Linked DNA regions of Canis lupus familiaris. The protein of the gene in region 1 binds, or shares a complex with, the protein of each later gene. Links are inferred from orthologs where the notes say so. Each region holds a gene or a part of one and is shown in the gene's direction. Other genes may lie near its edges.

Evidence for each region.
Region 2: SF3B5 (region 1) and RBM48 share a complex: the UniProt entries of both Homo sapiens proteins name them as parts of the minor spliceosome. The link is inferred for Canis lupus familiaris from reciprocal best matches to the Homo sapiens genes SF3B5 and RBM48.
Region 3: the proteins of SF3B5 (region 1) and DDX42 are in contact, whole or in part, in a cryo-EM structure (PDB 7EVN), measured with the Homo sapiens proteins. The link is inferred for Canis lupus familiaris from reciprocal best matches to the Homo sapiens genes SF3B5 and DDX42. Residues at the interface, in NP_112577.1 of Homo sapiens: Arg4, Tyr5, Thr6, Ser9, Gln10, His13, Leu14; in NP_031398.2 of Homo sapiens: Asp156, Ala159, Tyr160, Phe161, Tyr163, Met164, Asn167.

What each region holds. Positions count from the first base shown.
Region 1 is NC_049222.1:35,793,836-35,797,743, reverse strand, and holds SF3B5 (splicing factor 3B subunit 5), read left to right. Parts: upstream 1-1,532; 5' UTR 1,533-1,666; coding exon 1,667-1,927; 3' UTR 1,928-2,277; downstream 2,278-3,908. UniProt on the Homo sapiens protein: Component of the 17S U2 SnRNP complex of the spliceosome, a large ribonucleoprotein complex that removes introns from transcribed pre-mRNAs.
Region 2 is NC_049235.1:18,067,521-18,072,926, forward strand, and holds the start of RBM48 (RNA-binding protein 48), read left to right. Parts: upstream 1-2,029; 5' UTR 2,030-2,040; coding exon of another isoform or gene 2,041-2,074; coding exon 2,075-2,185; intron 2,186-2,257; exon of another isoform or gene 2,258-2,413; intron 2,414-3,204; coding exon 3,205-3,395; intron 3,396-5,406. UniProt on the Homo sapiens protein: As a component of the minor spliceosome, involved in the splicing of U12-type introns in pre-mRNAs.
Region 3 is NC_049230.1:15,154,286-15,159,473, reverse strand, and holds part of DDX42 (ATP-dependent RNA helicase DDX42), read left to right. Parts: intron 1-419; coding exon 420-696; intron 697-1,579; coding exon 1,580-1,806; intron 1,807-3,451; coding exon 3,452-3,562; intron 3,563-4,732; coding exon 4,733-4,834; intron 4,835-5,188. UniProt on the Homo sapiens protein: ATP-dependent RNA helicase that binds to partially double-stranded RNAs (dsRNAs) in order to unwind RNA secondary structures. Unwinding is promoted in the presence of single-strand binding proteins.

The sequences.
Region 1 (3,908 bases):
AGTGAATCCTCAGGTATATCTTATAACAGTCTCCACATTTTAGGAATGAAATGTTATATAACATGGTTTAAACCAAAGAATAAGACTTTTATTTTTCCATTTTTGGTACAGGCATTTGTTCCCATAAAGAATGCTTTTTGTCATTTTCTTTCCTTTAAATATTTTTTTTTTTTTAGAAAATAAAAATTGCTTATGTTTTAGGTTTGCAACATGATTTAATGGATATGCATAATGAAATGATCGCTACAGTTGAGCTAATCAACACGTCCTGAAATCCACTCTCTTGGCAAATTTCTAATATTCAATACAGGATTAACTTCAATCATCATGCTGTGTGTACATTAGATCTCTAGACTTACTCATCTGTACCTAACTGCAGAACAGAACTATTTTAAAGTCATCTTTCTCCCACTAAAGAGTCCCTTCTATTTGCTGCCACAGTTGTTCATCCATTCATCAAACGTTTTTTGAGAATGCGAGCTCTACCAGGCCAAGTATCGCAAGTGTGGTTATCACAAAAAAGATGCCACAAAAGAAGCTATGATAAATGATGGCATCAAAAAAGTATACGCTACTTTCCCCCAAGTAGTTTGAATTCACACGAGGGAGTTCTCAGAAAAAAAAAAAAAAAAAAAGAACCCAAAGCGTAGGCTATAAGGCGATCATAATGAAGCGATGTACAGGAGACTTTACGTCTGTCTGGTGTGGCCAAAGCCGATTTCAAGGAGATGCTTTTGAGCTGACTTAAAGAGAGAAGTTGTTTGCCAAGGGAACAAAAGCATTCCAAGCGGAGGGAACATCTAGTACAAAGAACTGGAGAGGCGAGCGGCACGGAATGCTGAGACACACAGGCTGGGGTGCGTAGGGTGGGGCGAGCAGCTGGAGGCAGGACATCAAATGAAGCAGCTGGAGCGCCGGGGGGCGGGGGGGGGCGGGGGGGGCGGGGCTCGGTGTGGGAGCCCGAACGTGTCGGCGCCCGAACGTGTCGGCGCCCGTAGGGTCCTCGGGCACCGGGCGGGAAACGGCGGCCCCGCCAGCGCTGAAGGAAGACGCACAGCTGGGAGCCGCAGTCGCGTCGACCGATTCTCAGGGTGACCCACCCCGGGCCGTGACGGGGCCCACCACGCCGCCACATTCGCTCCGAAACCAAAGTTACACCGAGGTTACTCTCACGGCGGCCTGTGGCAGCTCCCCATTTCTTCGCAGCTCCCAGCCGCCCAGGGATGCTCCCCGCCTCCCCGACACGACGCTCCACCAGGCGCCGGCGGGCTCTTAAACCGCGACGACCGCCCAGGGAGGCGGGCGCGCACGAACCCTCGGCGACCGCAGCTCCCGGCATGCAACGCTCCGCGCTAGAGCAAGGGCCACTGAATGAACCATGATGCAACGCTCTACGGAGGGGGCGGAGCTCTCCATGGCGGGGGCGGGGGGTGGGCGGCCGACTGGTAGCGTCGCCTAGGCAACTCCAATTCCCTGACGGAATACACTTCCGCTTCCTCCTCTGAGCGCTAGGACCGCGAGTCCTCGCGGCTCCGTGGCTGTGACGTCATTCTCCTGCGACTGAGCCGGCCGGGAGGTGCCGTGTCGTGGGCTCTCTCCCGCGTGGAAGTCTAGAGCAGCTTCTCCTCTGCGGCGTCTGACCTGGGCGCGAAGGGAAAGCGGCGAGATGACTGACCGCTACACTATCCACAGCCAGCTGGAGCACCTGCAGTCCAAGTACATCGGCACGGGCCACGCCGACACCACCAAGTGGGAGTGGCTGGTAAACCAGCACCGCGACTCCTACTGCTCCTACATGGGCCACTTCGACCTTCTCAACTACTTCGCCATTGCGGAGAATGAGAGCAAAGCGCGAGTCCGCTTCAACTTGATGGAGAAGATGCTGCAGCCTTGCGGACCGCCAGCCGACAAGCCGGAGGAGAACTGACACCCCCGTCTCGTCACTGCCACGCGGGAGCGTGTCCCGAGTTCCTCCCGTTTGCCGTTTCTCCCGCGTGTTCCTGCCCCGAAGTGGACCGGTTCTCCATTGCTCCTGTTTCTCGCGCCTTCCTCGTGCACAAGTGCTTAGCTGAGGCCGTCCCGCCTGACCTGCTTTCCTGTGGACCCTTAGGAACAGCGTTGGGAGACTGTCAGGACCCGTGAGAACTGAGACGGTGGAGAGGTCCTAAACCAGCAAGAGAGGGGGGAAGGAACTGGGATCAGACGGGATTTGGAGGCTCTTTTTTGGCTAGTTGATTGTCGTTTCTTTTTCCATAAAGTCTAGAAGTTTTTCAATCACTTGGTGTGGACCACTTGCGTTTGAGTGGAAGGGGGTCCAAGGAGGGCTTTGGGGACTTTAGTTTCTTGGGAGACCGAAGAGGCGGGAGATGGATGGGTGGAGGAGTTGAGCACAGGGCCAGCGTTCATTGGCATACAGTTAAATCCGCCTTGCACGATCTTTATAATATTCCCCAACCCAGACTTCTCCCAAGAGCTTTTTTCAGGCCCATAATGCCTTCAGGACTGAGGATTAAGGTTTATGATCACTGTATCCCTCTTTCATGTTCTTGCATTCAGAAAAATCTTTACTAGCATTGCCCACTCCTCTATGTAAGTTGCATCGTCTCTTTCTCTTGGGATTCTGGACACATCCTGAAAAACGACAGGCTGTCAGACGAGTTCTTTCATTCATTCGGCATTCAACAAATACTTGTTGAGTCAGTTCTATGTGGTGGGCATTTTGCCTCGCTTTTGGAGCTTATGTTATACTTGGGGGGGCACACAAATTGTAGGCATAAACAAGTTTATTAGGTGTTGTGCAGGATGGGAGTAGCAGTACGTTTGCACTTTCAAACAAGATGCTTATGTTAGACTATAGAGATGGTTACACTTGAGCAAGACTAAGGAAGGGAGGGAAATAGTCACACAGAAAACAGGGAATTGCTTTCCAGGCAGAGGGAACTGCTAGTGCAATGGTGGTAATACTGAAATTATCTGGCTTTTTGGAGGAACATCAAAGAGGCAAATGTGGCTGGAGGGAGTGAGCAAGGGGAGGAGTAGAGGGATGGGTGATGGAGGAGGAACAGGTAAGAGTAGAGCCTGCTAGGCCAGTGCAAGAACTTGTGACTTTATCCTGAGGGGAATGAGGAGCCATTGGGACTAATGGTTTTAAGTAATGTGAGCTGACATATTTTAGATCAGTAATTCTCAAACCTTTTGGCCTTGGGACTTCATTACGTTCTTAAAAATTCTTGAATACCACAGAGTCTGTTAATGAGGGTTCTAGCTGTTGATATTCATCAAATTGGAAATTAAAACAAAATTGTAAAATATTTAGTAATTCGTGTAGATAACAATAAAACCATTACATGTTAGCAAACACACTTTATGAAAAATAACTTTTTCCAAAAGCAATTCAGTGAGAAGAATTAAAAAAAAAAAACAGTTTTGCAAATGTCTTCAATGTCAATGTCAGGTTTAACAGAAAAGAGCTGGACTCTCCTGTCTGCTTCTGTATTTGAACTATTGTGATACGAAGTTTTGGTTGAAGTCTGAAAAGTCCACAAAAATATGTGGTAAGGGAGAAATATTCTAATAACCTTTTCAAGTAATTGTGGATAATTGTTAATTCTCTAGCAAAACTCCCAAGTAGTAATTTCTTAAGTTATTTCTTAAGTAATTTCTTAAGTTATAACATGAACTCTGATCAATGAACTTTTCATTCTGTTACATTAGAATTCATTCCTCTATCTTGAACTTAGAAAGAATCCTTTACCCATACATGATTTTGTAACCTCATACATCCTTCATTTGGAAAGTATTGGCTCACAGTGATAGAGACCTTACAATGTTGACACATCTCATTATACATATCAAGAGATTACATTCATTCATATTACTACTGATCTCATCAGAGAAGTCTTACAGTA
Region 2 (5,406 bases), on another chromosome or scaffold:
GGATAAGCAAAAGATGATACTTGAAACATAGAGTACAAGAGGGATGTGTCACATAAACAGTGAAGTTTTGAAAAGGAGACAAATGTGATCAACTGAGAATTTGAAAGCCAGATGGAGGAGGTATAAGATTATGTTCAGCTTCTGAAGGCATAAAATGAAGAAAAGCGTTTTGGGGAGAAAGAATAGCATGAGTAAGAGTACAGAAGTAGGGAGGAGCTGGGTTATGAAAGAAACAGTGAGAAGGCCAGTCTGGATGCTGCAGAGTGAGAGACAAGAGGACAAATTAACTAGAAATGGTACCCTCCCTAGGACTGCTAGTTTCCTAACATGTGAAAGTACAGAAATGACCTAGAAACCCCAGGTCCCTATCACCATTAACATTCTATGATTCTATAACAGCGAGTCTCAGTTCCTTTGCATCCACTAGCCCAAAGGTATTTTTATAATTACAGATGCCTGAAGCTCACTCACCAAGATTCTGATTCAACAGGTCTGAGAAAGGACCAGAACATTCCCATTTTTAAAAGCTTCAAGGTAAGCCTGACACAGGCCAGAAAACCACTCTTCTGACCCTCTTCCCCTTTACAGCATTACAGTATTATGTACTCCACACTTCAGCCCAGATAAAATAATTCAACACATTAGCTCCCAATTCATGACTTCCTGCTTTAATAATTCACCTATGCCTTCTAGTCCAATAATTCTAGGGGGGGGGGGAATAATCTAGAAAAAAACAGTTCCAGAGAAGTAAGATGGAAAGGTCGGGTACTTAAAACTATTGGAAACTCTTAAATATCCCCCTCATGATGAGCCAGTTGTGGGTACCATGCATTCAGGATTTCTGAGGATTTCAAAGATCCCATCCCTTTGCCTGCATAAACACAGACTCACAGACTACAGGTCTCTATCTCTAGCTATGAAAATGCGGATGCTGTATTTCTGCCAGTAATTAATAAAAAAAGGACGACTGACGGCAGAGGCTCAAGTAATCCTACCTATGTACCTCCAGGTATGCAGAGTTCTACTGCACATCCCCGGCACACCCCGGACTGGGGGGAGCCTCTGGTTAGTGACCTACTCCGCATGGGGGCCGCGGTGCTCCGCTGTTAATCTACAGGGGCTCTGCAAACCCAACCCGCCCCTCCTTCTGGAGTCCAGGACGGCAGTCGTGCAGGGATCTGGAAATCACTGCCAAGAAAAACATTTTTCAAGATAAAAATAAAAATTAGCGACTTCCCAGGAGCTTTTCCAAACCGGAGTGAGGAATATTTCTGAATGCAGACGTAGACTTAGGATGTTTGTAAGCCCAGTCTCATGGAGTGAAAACACCTGGAACAGGGCAAGTTAAAGGCCCAGGGCTGCACGACCTGCCCCCGGCGGCCGTGCCCTCGAGGGGCCCTCAGTCCGGCCTCTGAACCGCTCGGCGGCGACGGCGGAAAGGCAGCCCTCGCCACGCCGCTCGGGGCGGGGGGCCTGAGGGTCGCCGCGTGCCTCCAAGGCCTCAGCCCCGTCCGCCCCCAGGCTGCTCCCAGGTGTCCCGAGTCTGGGCGGGGAGCCCCGTCCGCGGGCGGCGCGGTACCTGCAGCAGGTGCAGCTGGGCCACGAGGCGCCGCGGCAAGCGGAGGAAGCAGTCGCGAGCGTTGGTGAAGACGACAGTCGCCGCCACCCCACCCCCGTCTGCACCCGCCAGGCGGTCGCCGCCCCACATCGTCCGGCGCCGAAGACGCCCCCGCCGCGGCAGCCCGCTCCAGCCGACGCCCGCCGCGGGGCAGGCCGAGGCCGTCGGAGCCGGAGAAGATCGATCGGCCCCGCCCCCTGCGGCCCCGCCCCCTCGCCGCGCGCCCGTCCGAGGAGGGAGGGGCAAGCAAGCTTCCCCAGCAGTCCCGGGCCTCTCCGCCGCGCCGCCGGAGGGCGGCACCTCGCTCACCCAAGTCTCACTCGCCGGAAACGATGCGGGCCGCCGTCGGCTCTCCAGCCAATCCAGGCACGCCGTGGCCCATTCCCCTCCGTCATTGGGTGGGCGGGAGGGCGGCCCGGCGGATGTTGTCGTTTTGGCCGGAGCCAAGTAGGCAAGATGGCGTCGAGCGGCGGGGAGCTCGGGGGCGTATTCGATCACCACGTCCAGAGGGCCGTGTGCGACACGCGGGCCAAGTATCGGGAGGGGCGGCGGCCTCGCGCTGTCAAGGTAAAGTGACTTGGGTTTTCACTCGCTATCCTCGATAGCGTTATCATGCCCGGCTTGATAGATGAAGGCTTGAGGGGCTGCGGGCCTGCCCACCAGGCATCGGCGGTGGGACGAGAGGCCGGCGCTCAGTTACCAGACGTTCTCACGAACTCCTCGGCTACCTGCTAGAACGTCAGCTCCGCGGGGACGGGGCTCCGCTTTAGTCTTTGTATCTTCCGTGCTTACGTGGTAAGCGCTCAGTGAATCGTTCTCGCTCTCTCTCCAGTTAACTTCTCCTGAGCCAACTTCCGGAAAATATGTCCATTGAAGATACTCTGTGTTTTAATTAGAGGCCCTGACACGGAGGGGTGAATTTATTCTTTATTTTTTCTGCAGACCGGCTGAACAGAATGTTTCTTCTTTTCAGGGCTTTAAGTTTTTTGTTTTTTTTTTTAATTTTAATTCTAGTATAGTTAACCTACAGCGTTATATTAGTTTCAGGTGTACTATATGATAATTCAGCACCTCTGTACGTTATTTAGTGCTCATCATTGTAAATGTACTCTTTAATCCCCAGAGCTTTTTCTTCTTTTTTTTTAAATAGAAGATGTGTCTTAGGCTTATTTGGAAAATACATTTTTTAATTTAAATTCAGTTAGCCAACGTATAGTACACAGTGTCAGATGCAGATGTTCAATAGTTTATCAGTTAGGTACACCACCGAGTGCTCATAACATCATGTGCCCTCCTTAGTACCCATCACGGAATTACCCCATCCCCGCCCACCTCCTCTCCAGCAACCCTCAGTTTGTTTCCTAGAGTTAAGAGTCTCTCTTGGTGTTTCTCCCTCTCTGATGACTTCCCGTTCAGTTTTCCCTCCCTTAACTACGATCCTCTGCGCTCTTTCTTATATTCCATGTATTAGTGAACTGGAGAGTATTATGTTATTTGGTGAAATAAGTCAATCAGAGAAAGGCAGGTATCACATGGGTTCACTAATATGTGGAAAATACATTTTTATGTGTCTGCATTTCTTTTAGGTATATACAATCAATTTGGAATCTCGGTACTTGTTAATTCAAGGAGTTCCTGCGGTGGGAGCAATGAAGGAATTAGTTGAGCGATTTGCTCTATATGGTGCAATTGAACAGTATAACGCTTTAGATGAATACCCAGCAGAAGACTTTACGGAAGTTTATCTTATTAAATTTATGAATTTACAAAGTGCAAGGTAATGTGCAAGTTAAGCTTAAGTTTCATTTCCGCCATTCCCATTGCTAGCACATTGGTCCCAGTTGTCCCTCGTTCATACCTGAATTACTGAGTAACGCTGTATTATTTTAATCTTACTCCAGTCTTTTTTTTTTTTTTCTTTTTAAGATTTTACCCATTTATTCACGAGAGACACAGAGAGAGAGGTAGAGACACAGGCAGAGGGAGAAGCAGGCTCCCTGCAGGGAGCCGGACGTGGGACTTGATCCCAGGTCTCCAGGATCACGCCCTGGGCTGAAGGCAGGTGCTAAACCGCTGAGCCACCCAGGCTGCCCTATCTTAACTCCAGTCTTAAATGTCATTACCTTGCTTAACAATCTTCAGTCATATATTGTGGTAGATTACAAAATGGGTTTGGATAAGTTTTCGAACTTCACAGCTTACTAACATCGTGACTTTGGACAAGTCATTTAACCTCAACAAGCCTGTTTTTTCTAGTCTCTGAAATCTGTACAGTAAAAGGACCTACTTTGAGGGTTGTGTGAGGATGGTATGAAATAATCCATGTAAAGGGCTGAAACATAGTGCCTCCTGTTGAGAATGCAGTAAACATTAGCTATTGAAGTTCTTTTTTTTTTTTTTTTTTCTTTAAACTTGCTGGGATTTTTTTTTTTTTTAAAGATTTTATTTATTTATTCATGAGAGACACACAGAGAGAGAGAGAGGCAGAGACACAGGCAGAGGGAGAAGCAGGCTCCATGCAGGGAGCCCGACATGGGACTCAATCCTGGTCTCCAGCCGCTGAGCCACCTGGGCTGTCCGCTATTGAAGTTCTTAATGTTATGCACCTATGTGAATTGACTCAGTCTTTTCCTGCCTTCTGCATAAATTCTGTGCTTCAATAAGGGTGAAATGCCTCATCTAGTTTTATGTTTACCCCATTCTTGTCACTAATTTGCTCCAATATCCATCCTTTGGCTATTACCATTCATACTTCCTTTTTCTCTTTAAAAAAAAAAAAAAAAAAAAGATTTTAATTACTGTATCCCCAACATGCTCAAACTTACAGCACCAAGATCAAGCATCACATGGTCTACCGACTTAGTCAGTCAGGTGCCCCACCATTCACATTGTCTTTCCGTACTCCAAATAGCACTTGCAGTCTGCCACAAAAGCACTTGATTTTTATAGGGTTATGTATTGTTCTCAGTTTGCTCCCTTATGTGATCTCACTTCCCCTAACCAACTTCCCCTCATAGTTAGCGAAGCATATTTTCTAGAGTTTTTGCATCTCCCACAGCACATAATATGGTAGGTTGTGGAGTTCAGCATCTCAATTTGAATCATAACTCCACAAACTAGTGTGAGCATGGCTAAATTATAAATCTCCTGAGGCCTCCTTAGGTCCTCATAGGGTTTTATGAAATCTTAATTCAGGTGAAGTACTTAGGGCACTGCCTGGTGTGTGATAAAATCTCAATAAGTATTTCTATCATTATCCCTAGACACGCAAGTACTTAAATATTTATTGTAGTATAATGCTTAGCCAGTTACATATGTTTGATAAGTATTTGTTGAATATCATCATGTAACTTTCTCGTTGCTTATATATTCAATATTTACTCAATTATTGAAGATTTTACTATTACAATATTTTTATTTGTGAATCCATTGTGCTGAAAAGGCTAAATTGGGTATGAGCTGACTCTTAAGGGACATTTAACACAGAGAAATCTCTATTTCATGACCACAGATTGTGTACCTCAAGTTAACTATTGGCTCCTAAGTTGGTTAAAGGGAGTCTGGTTATGTGTGGATGACTTAGCTCAAAATCTGTTAGTAGTATAGAGCGAGGGGATGAAAGGCTTGAAGAGTATGCACTAGATCAGTAGAGTTAATACCATACACAAGTAGAACATCTTAACTCCCAAACCATAGGATGTATGTACACCTAGCAAAACCTGGACTTTTGGATCAATGCATTGTATACTATTTCAGCTTTCATCCTAAGTAGGTCAAGATTAATAAAA
Region 3 (5,188 bases), on another chromosome or scaffold:
TGAGAATTCCTGAAGTTGCTTGCCATGTTTGTTACTAAAGTTCTGTGGTGTTAGTATTTTGACATTGTCTACTATCCATTTTTGAGTGCCTTCTGTGTGCATGTATGACTTGTACTAGGAGCAGTGAATGGGAAGGACAGAAAAGGAGCTTAATTTATTAGGAGTAATCTGAATAGGCCTATAACAACAGATTGCAAAATATTGGGGCTTACAAATAGGTATATGTACAAATTGGGGAAGATGGTGAGTGCAGTAATTTGAGAAGGGATGTAGGTTTTGAGCTGCACTTGACTTACTGAAGGAAAGCCCAAGGAGGAGGACTGTTGAAGGTCCTTATGTTGATGGAAAGTGTGATGTCTGGTCCTTGTTCAGGTGCCTTTTGGCACAAACATCATAGTCATCTGTTTCTTACTTTTCAGGCAAATGAAGATGTAACACAGATTGTGGAAATTCTCCATTCTGGGCCTAGTAAATGGAACTGGCTCACTCGGCGTCTGGTGGAATTTACCTCTTCAGGAAGTGTCCTCCTGTTTGTTACTAAAAAAGCCAATGCTGAGGAGCTAGCCAATAACCTTAAGCAGGAGGGTCATAATCTTGGGCTGCTTCATGGGGATATGGATCAGAGCGAAAGAAACAAGGTCATTTCAGATTTTAAGAAAAAGGACATCCCAGTCCTGGTGGCCACAGATGTTGCAGGTAGAGTACGACCTTCCCTGGTGATCTTCTATTCCTGTTGCTGTAAGGGTGCTCTGTCTTGAGTACATGAGCAGGCTGATTGAAGGCCCTCTAACTGGCCTGTTTGGGCACACTAAATGGAGCAAGCAGTTTAGACCATAAGTGATCACAACCTGGAGCTCTGGGTACCATCTTCACTGTATGTTTCTCTTTGAAAAAAGAATCCCTGCAGTTGAAAGATACTCAGGGAAAAATATTGTTGAGCCAGTTACATCATAGGCTATGCCTTTATGATGTGTCTAAACATAGTACCTACCTGACATTGATTGCGCGTACTTCACTCAAAGTTGAAAAGTTTTTTGAAGTATGATTTTTGGTTTTGTTTTGATAGCTACCCTTAAAAATTGGTATTTTCTCTCAATAAGGGAGATAATTTCTCGACTTCAAAGCAGTTTGATGCTTTATTTTACATATTCCTGGTGTAAGAGAGAGGCCATGGTATATTATTAATGGCAGAAGCCATGTGTCCCCTATGCTAAACAGCCTAGCATCGTAGAATTGATGATAGTGGCATTTGCTTTAGGGTAACTTTAAAGTTTGTTTGTTTGTTTTAAGATTTTATTTATTTATTCATGAGAGAGAGGGAGGGAGGAAGAAGCAGGCTCCCCAGAGGGAGCCTAGTGCGGGATTGGATCCCAGGACCCTGGGATCACGACCCAAGCTGAAGGCAGATGCTCAGCCACTGAGTCACCAGGAGCCTAAATGCTTGTATCTTACTAGATCACCAAACCATGTACTTTGTCTATATAAGAGGAATGTGGGCTCTTGGCTAGCATTTTGGGTTAGTCCGGGTTTTTTTTACTCCTACTAAAGAATAAAAAAAAGTTGGTGGTTTTTATTTCAGCCCGTGGTCTGGACATTCCTTCAATTAAGACTGTCATTAACTATGATGTGGCACGAGATATTGATACTCATACTCATAGGATTGGCCGCACGGGACGAGCGGGTGAGAAAGGTGTGGCCTATACCTTACTGACCCCCAAGGACAGCAATTTTGCTGGTGACCTTGTCCGGAACTTGGAAGGAGCCAATCAGCATGTTTCCAAGGAACTCCTAGATCTGGCAATGCAGGTGAGGGGCTGAGTACACTTGAGATTGCTCCAGGTTATAAAACTAAGTGAAAAAAATTCAGCAAGCCTGGGGGAATAACATAGACACAGGACTGGAAAGTTGCAGCCATGGGTGGGGGGCACTGCTTATGAGGTACAGATTAGTATTTTAGAACATTAAAATTCATCTGGTCTTTCATTCTATCCTCTTCTTTCAGCAACATCTATTTGAAAAGCTTATTCCTAAAATCTGTCCCTCTGAAATTTCTGCCTGCTTGCCCCATAGCAATCTCAAAGATGGCTACTTTTCCCCTTACTGTCCTTTCTCCATTCTTCTCATTTGGAGGCTAAAAACATGTAATGTCTTAAGAAAACGATGTATTTAATAGACTATTTCTCATAGACATAGGTCCCAGATCTTTGACCACATTCATTACTAACCTAAAACTAAGCTAGACATTCTACCGAATTAAATCCTGGGTCATTGTAATAGATGTCATCTCTAGATTACAAATGGGTTCAATATACACCTTCTGATAGTAGAGACTTAGGTGTTTTTAAGACTTATAAGTCAGTGTACAGGACAGTTAACCTGTACTGCACTTACAGTATGGTACTGTTGCCTGTGCTCTGGGTTCTGAGAGTAAAGGACCTGAATTGCAGGAAGGAGTAGAATGAGGTATCCTTCCCTCTCCTGGGTTCAGTGAGCCAATTGTAAACTACATTTTTTTTTTTAATTTTTATTTATTTATGATAGGCACACAGTGAGAGAGAGAGAGGCAGAGACACAGGCAGAGGGAGGAGCAGGCTCCATGCACCAGGAGCCTGACGTGGGATTCGATCCCGGATCTCCAGGATCGCGCCCTGGGCCAAAGGCAGGCGCTAAACCGCTGCGCCACCCAGGGATCCCGTAAACTACATTTTTTAACAGAATTATCTTGTCTTTGGATTTTTTCCTACATCTCTTTTTGTGCTTTAGGCTTTCTGTGCCCTCAGACTGTGATCAGCTTCCCTGGTCAGTGCTTTTCTGAAGACAGCCCTACCTCTCCAGTACTTCGCTTAGGTTGTAACATGTGATTATCAGATAAAGGGCTACCTCTCCCGTTGATATTTGTATTCTGAAAAGAACTAAATAAATCTTACAGTATGCTGGCAGTGGTCAGATTCAAGGAACACTATAGGCCATGGGTAAATAAAACTTTCAGTTATTGGCTAGCAGTCCTAAACGTCTGCTCCTAGAGCCAGTTCTGATGAACCTCGCTTCACATAGCCTTTCTTTCACTTCCAAGCCCTCTTATAAGCTCAATGTGTGTATGTCCAGTGGTATGTCTACATTGAGAAACAGAAAATCAGTTCCTTTTCCTCAAGAAAGTTAGAAATGGTCAGAGTAAGTGCTCTGTATCTGAGGCTTACCTACTCATTTCTCTTCCTGGAGGCCCTGAGAAACAGTAATAACGGAAGCCTCAGATAAGGAGCTAGGCCTCCTGACAAATTTGGTAGACTAAACTCCCAAAAGAAGCTCATCTGTGGTTCCTGTGAACGGTTGCCATAAATATACTGGCTAAAGATGAAGCAGTTTATTTCTTCCACTTTCTGATAATGTCCTCCTCCTCTGGCTGCCTCTTCCTCCTGTGATCTAACCTTGAATTATGTTGAATTGTGTGCAGAATGCCTGGTTTCGGAAATCCCGCTTTAAAGGAGGAAAAGGCAAAAAGCTGAACATTGGTGGAGGTGGCCTAGGCTATAGGGAGCGCCCTGGCCTAGGCTCGGAGAACACGGTGAGTCCAGACTGTTGTAGTGCCCTTCAGGCTGCTCCCGAGTCCTGGAGGATGCTATGATTGTCCTCCTCTGCTTGACAAAGCCTTCATGAATTCAGAACCCTGTCTAGAAGGGAATGTTTTAACTTCCTCTTGAAACACCTCTGCGTACTTGGTGACTAGACATACTCAGGAAATCAGTCTAGATTAGCAGCAGTTTACATATTGAGGTCCCTGGGCCATCAGTAAATGCAATTTCGTGTTCCACCCTAGACCTGGTGAATCAGAAACTTAAGCCCCCCAGCACTGGCTAAGAGCCTGCTGCTAGGAAAACCTTGCCATAGGGTTACTTTGTGAACTCTGTTTTCTTACTAAACTCAGGAATGCTTTCTACACTCTATGGGAAATTGCATCAGGGAGATGAGAGCTAAGCTTTTCTCACAAAACAGGTAACAAAAGCACCTCCTCACTGGCTTCTTTAACTGCCTATTTCCTGTCACTTTGATTCCTAAACCGAAGAAAGCTGCCAGTTTATGTATTTCTGGAGCAATATCATTAGCTTGGTGTTTTTGATAACGAATCGCTCCCATGTCTCAGTAACAATGATGCACATGACACATGATAACTATAGCTAATGTTGAGCACTTAATGTGTGCCAGGGCCAGCCACTGCAAGCAGTCATGCCTGTTAACTCAATCTTCACAACCACCCAGTGAGCACAGTGTACAAGTCATGAAACTGAGGCACCCCAGGTTGCACTCTGATAAATGTTGAAACTGAGACTTGGACTTTTTTAAAAGAGTGGATTCAGAGCCTGAGCCCTGTATAGGCTATATGCATATGCTATATATTGCCTCATGGCCTCTTCATTCTGAGCATAAAACTACACAGAATTACATAAACACTATGTTTGGGTTTGAATAATATCGTATGATCAGCTTTGGGGATTTTTTTATTTGACTTTAGGGTTAATTCCTAAAAACAATTACTGGGTTGAAAGACATAAGCAAAAAAAAAAAAAAGAAAGACATAAGCATTTTAAAATAATTATTACTGTACCTATTCCCACAAAATAAAGTGTCCTGTTCCCATTGTAGTGCCCACTTATTTCTAGTATATGAGACCTATTCTGGCATTGTGCTCATTCTGTCCTCACAGGTGTGTTTTGTTTTTGTTTTTGTTTTTTTAAAGGACCGAGGAAATAACAACAATGTGATGAGTAATTATGAGGCCTATAAGCCTTCCACAGGAGCCATGGGAGATCGGCTGACGGCAATGAAAGCAGCTTTCCAGGTCTGAAATTTTAGAAAGTTTTCACCAGCAACTCTCGGGACTGTGATGAGGGGCCTAGTATTTCAGAGATGGTAGCTGGAATTGAAGGCTTGAGGCTAGATTTAGGACCCTCTCACAGCTTTTGGCTTTGAGTATCAACTTTGTGGTCACTTACCTAGAGCTGTAGGTGTAGAAGGTAGAAAATCTACTGATTACAGCCTTCCATCCTCCCAGAACCTGGGACTGTTATACTGCTACAGGACTGATGTTCCTTCCCTGCCTCAATAGCCAACAGTGTTGTCTACCCAAGGCTCTTGTAATCTGGTTGAGATTGCCATTTCTTAACTAAAACAAGTTTGATTCTATAGCTCTTGT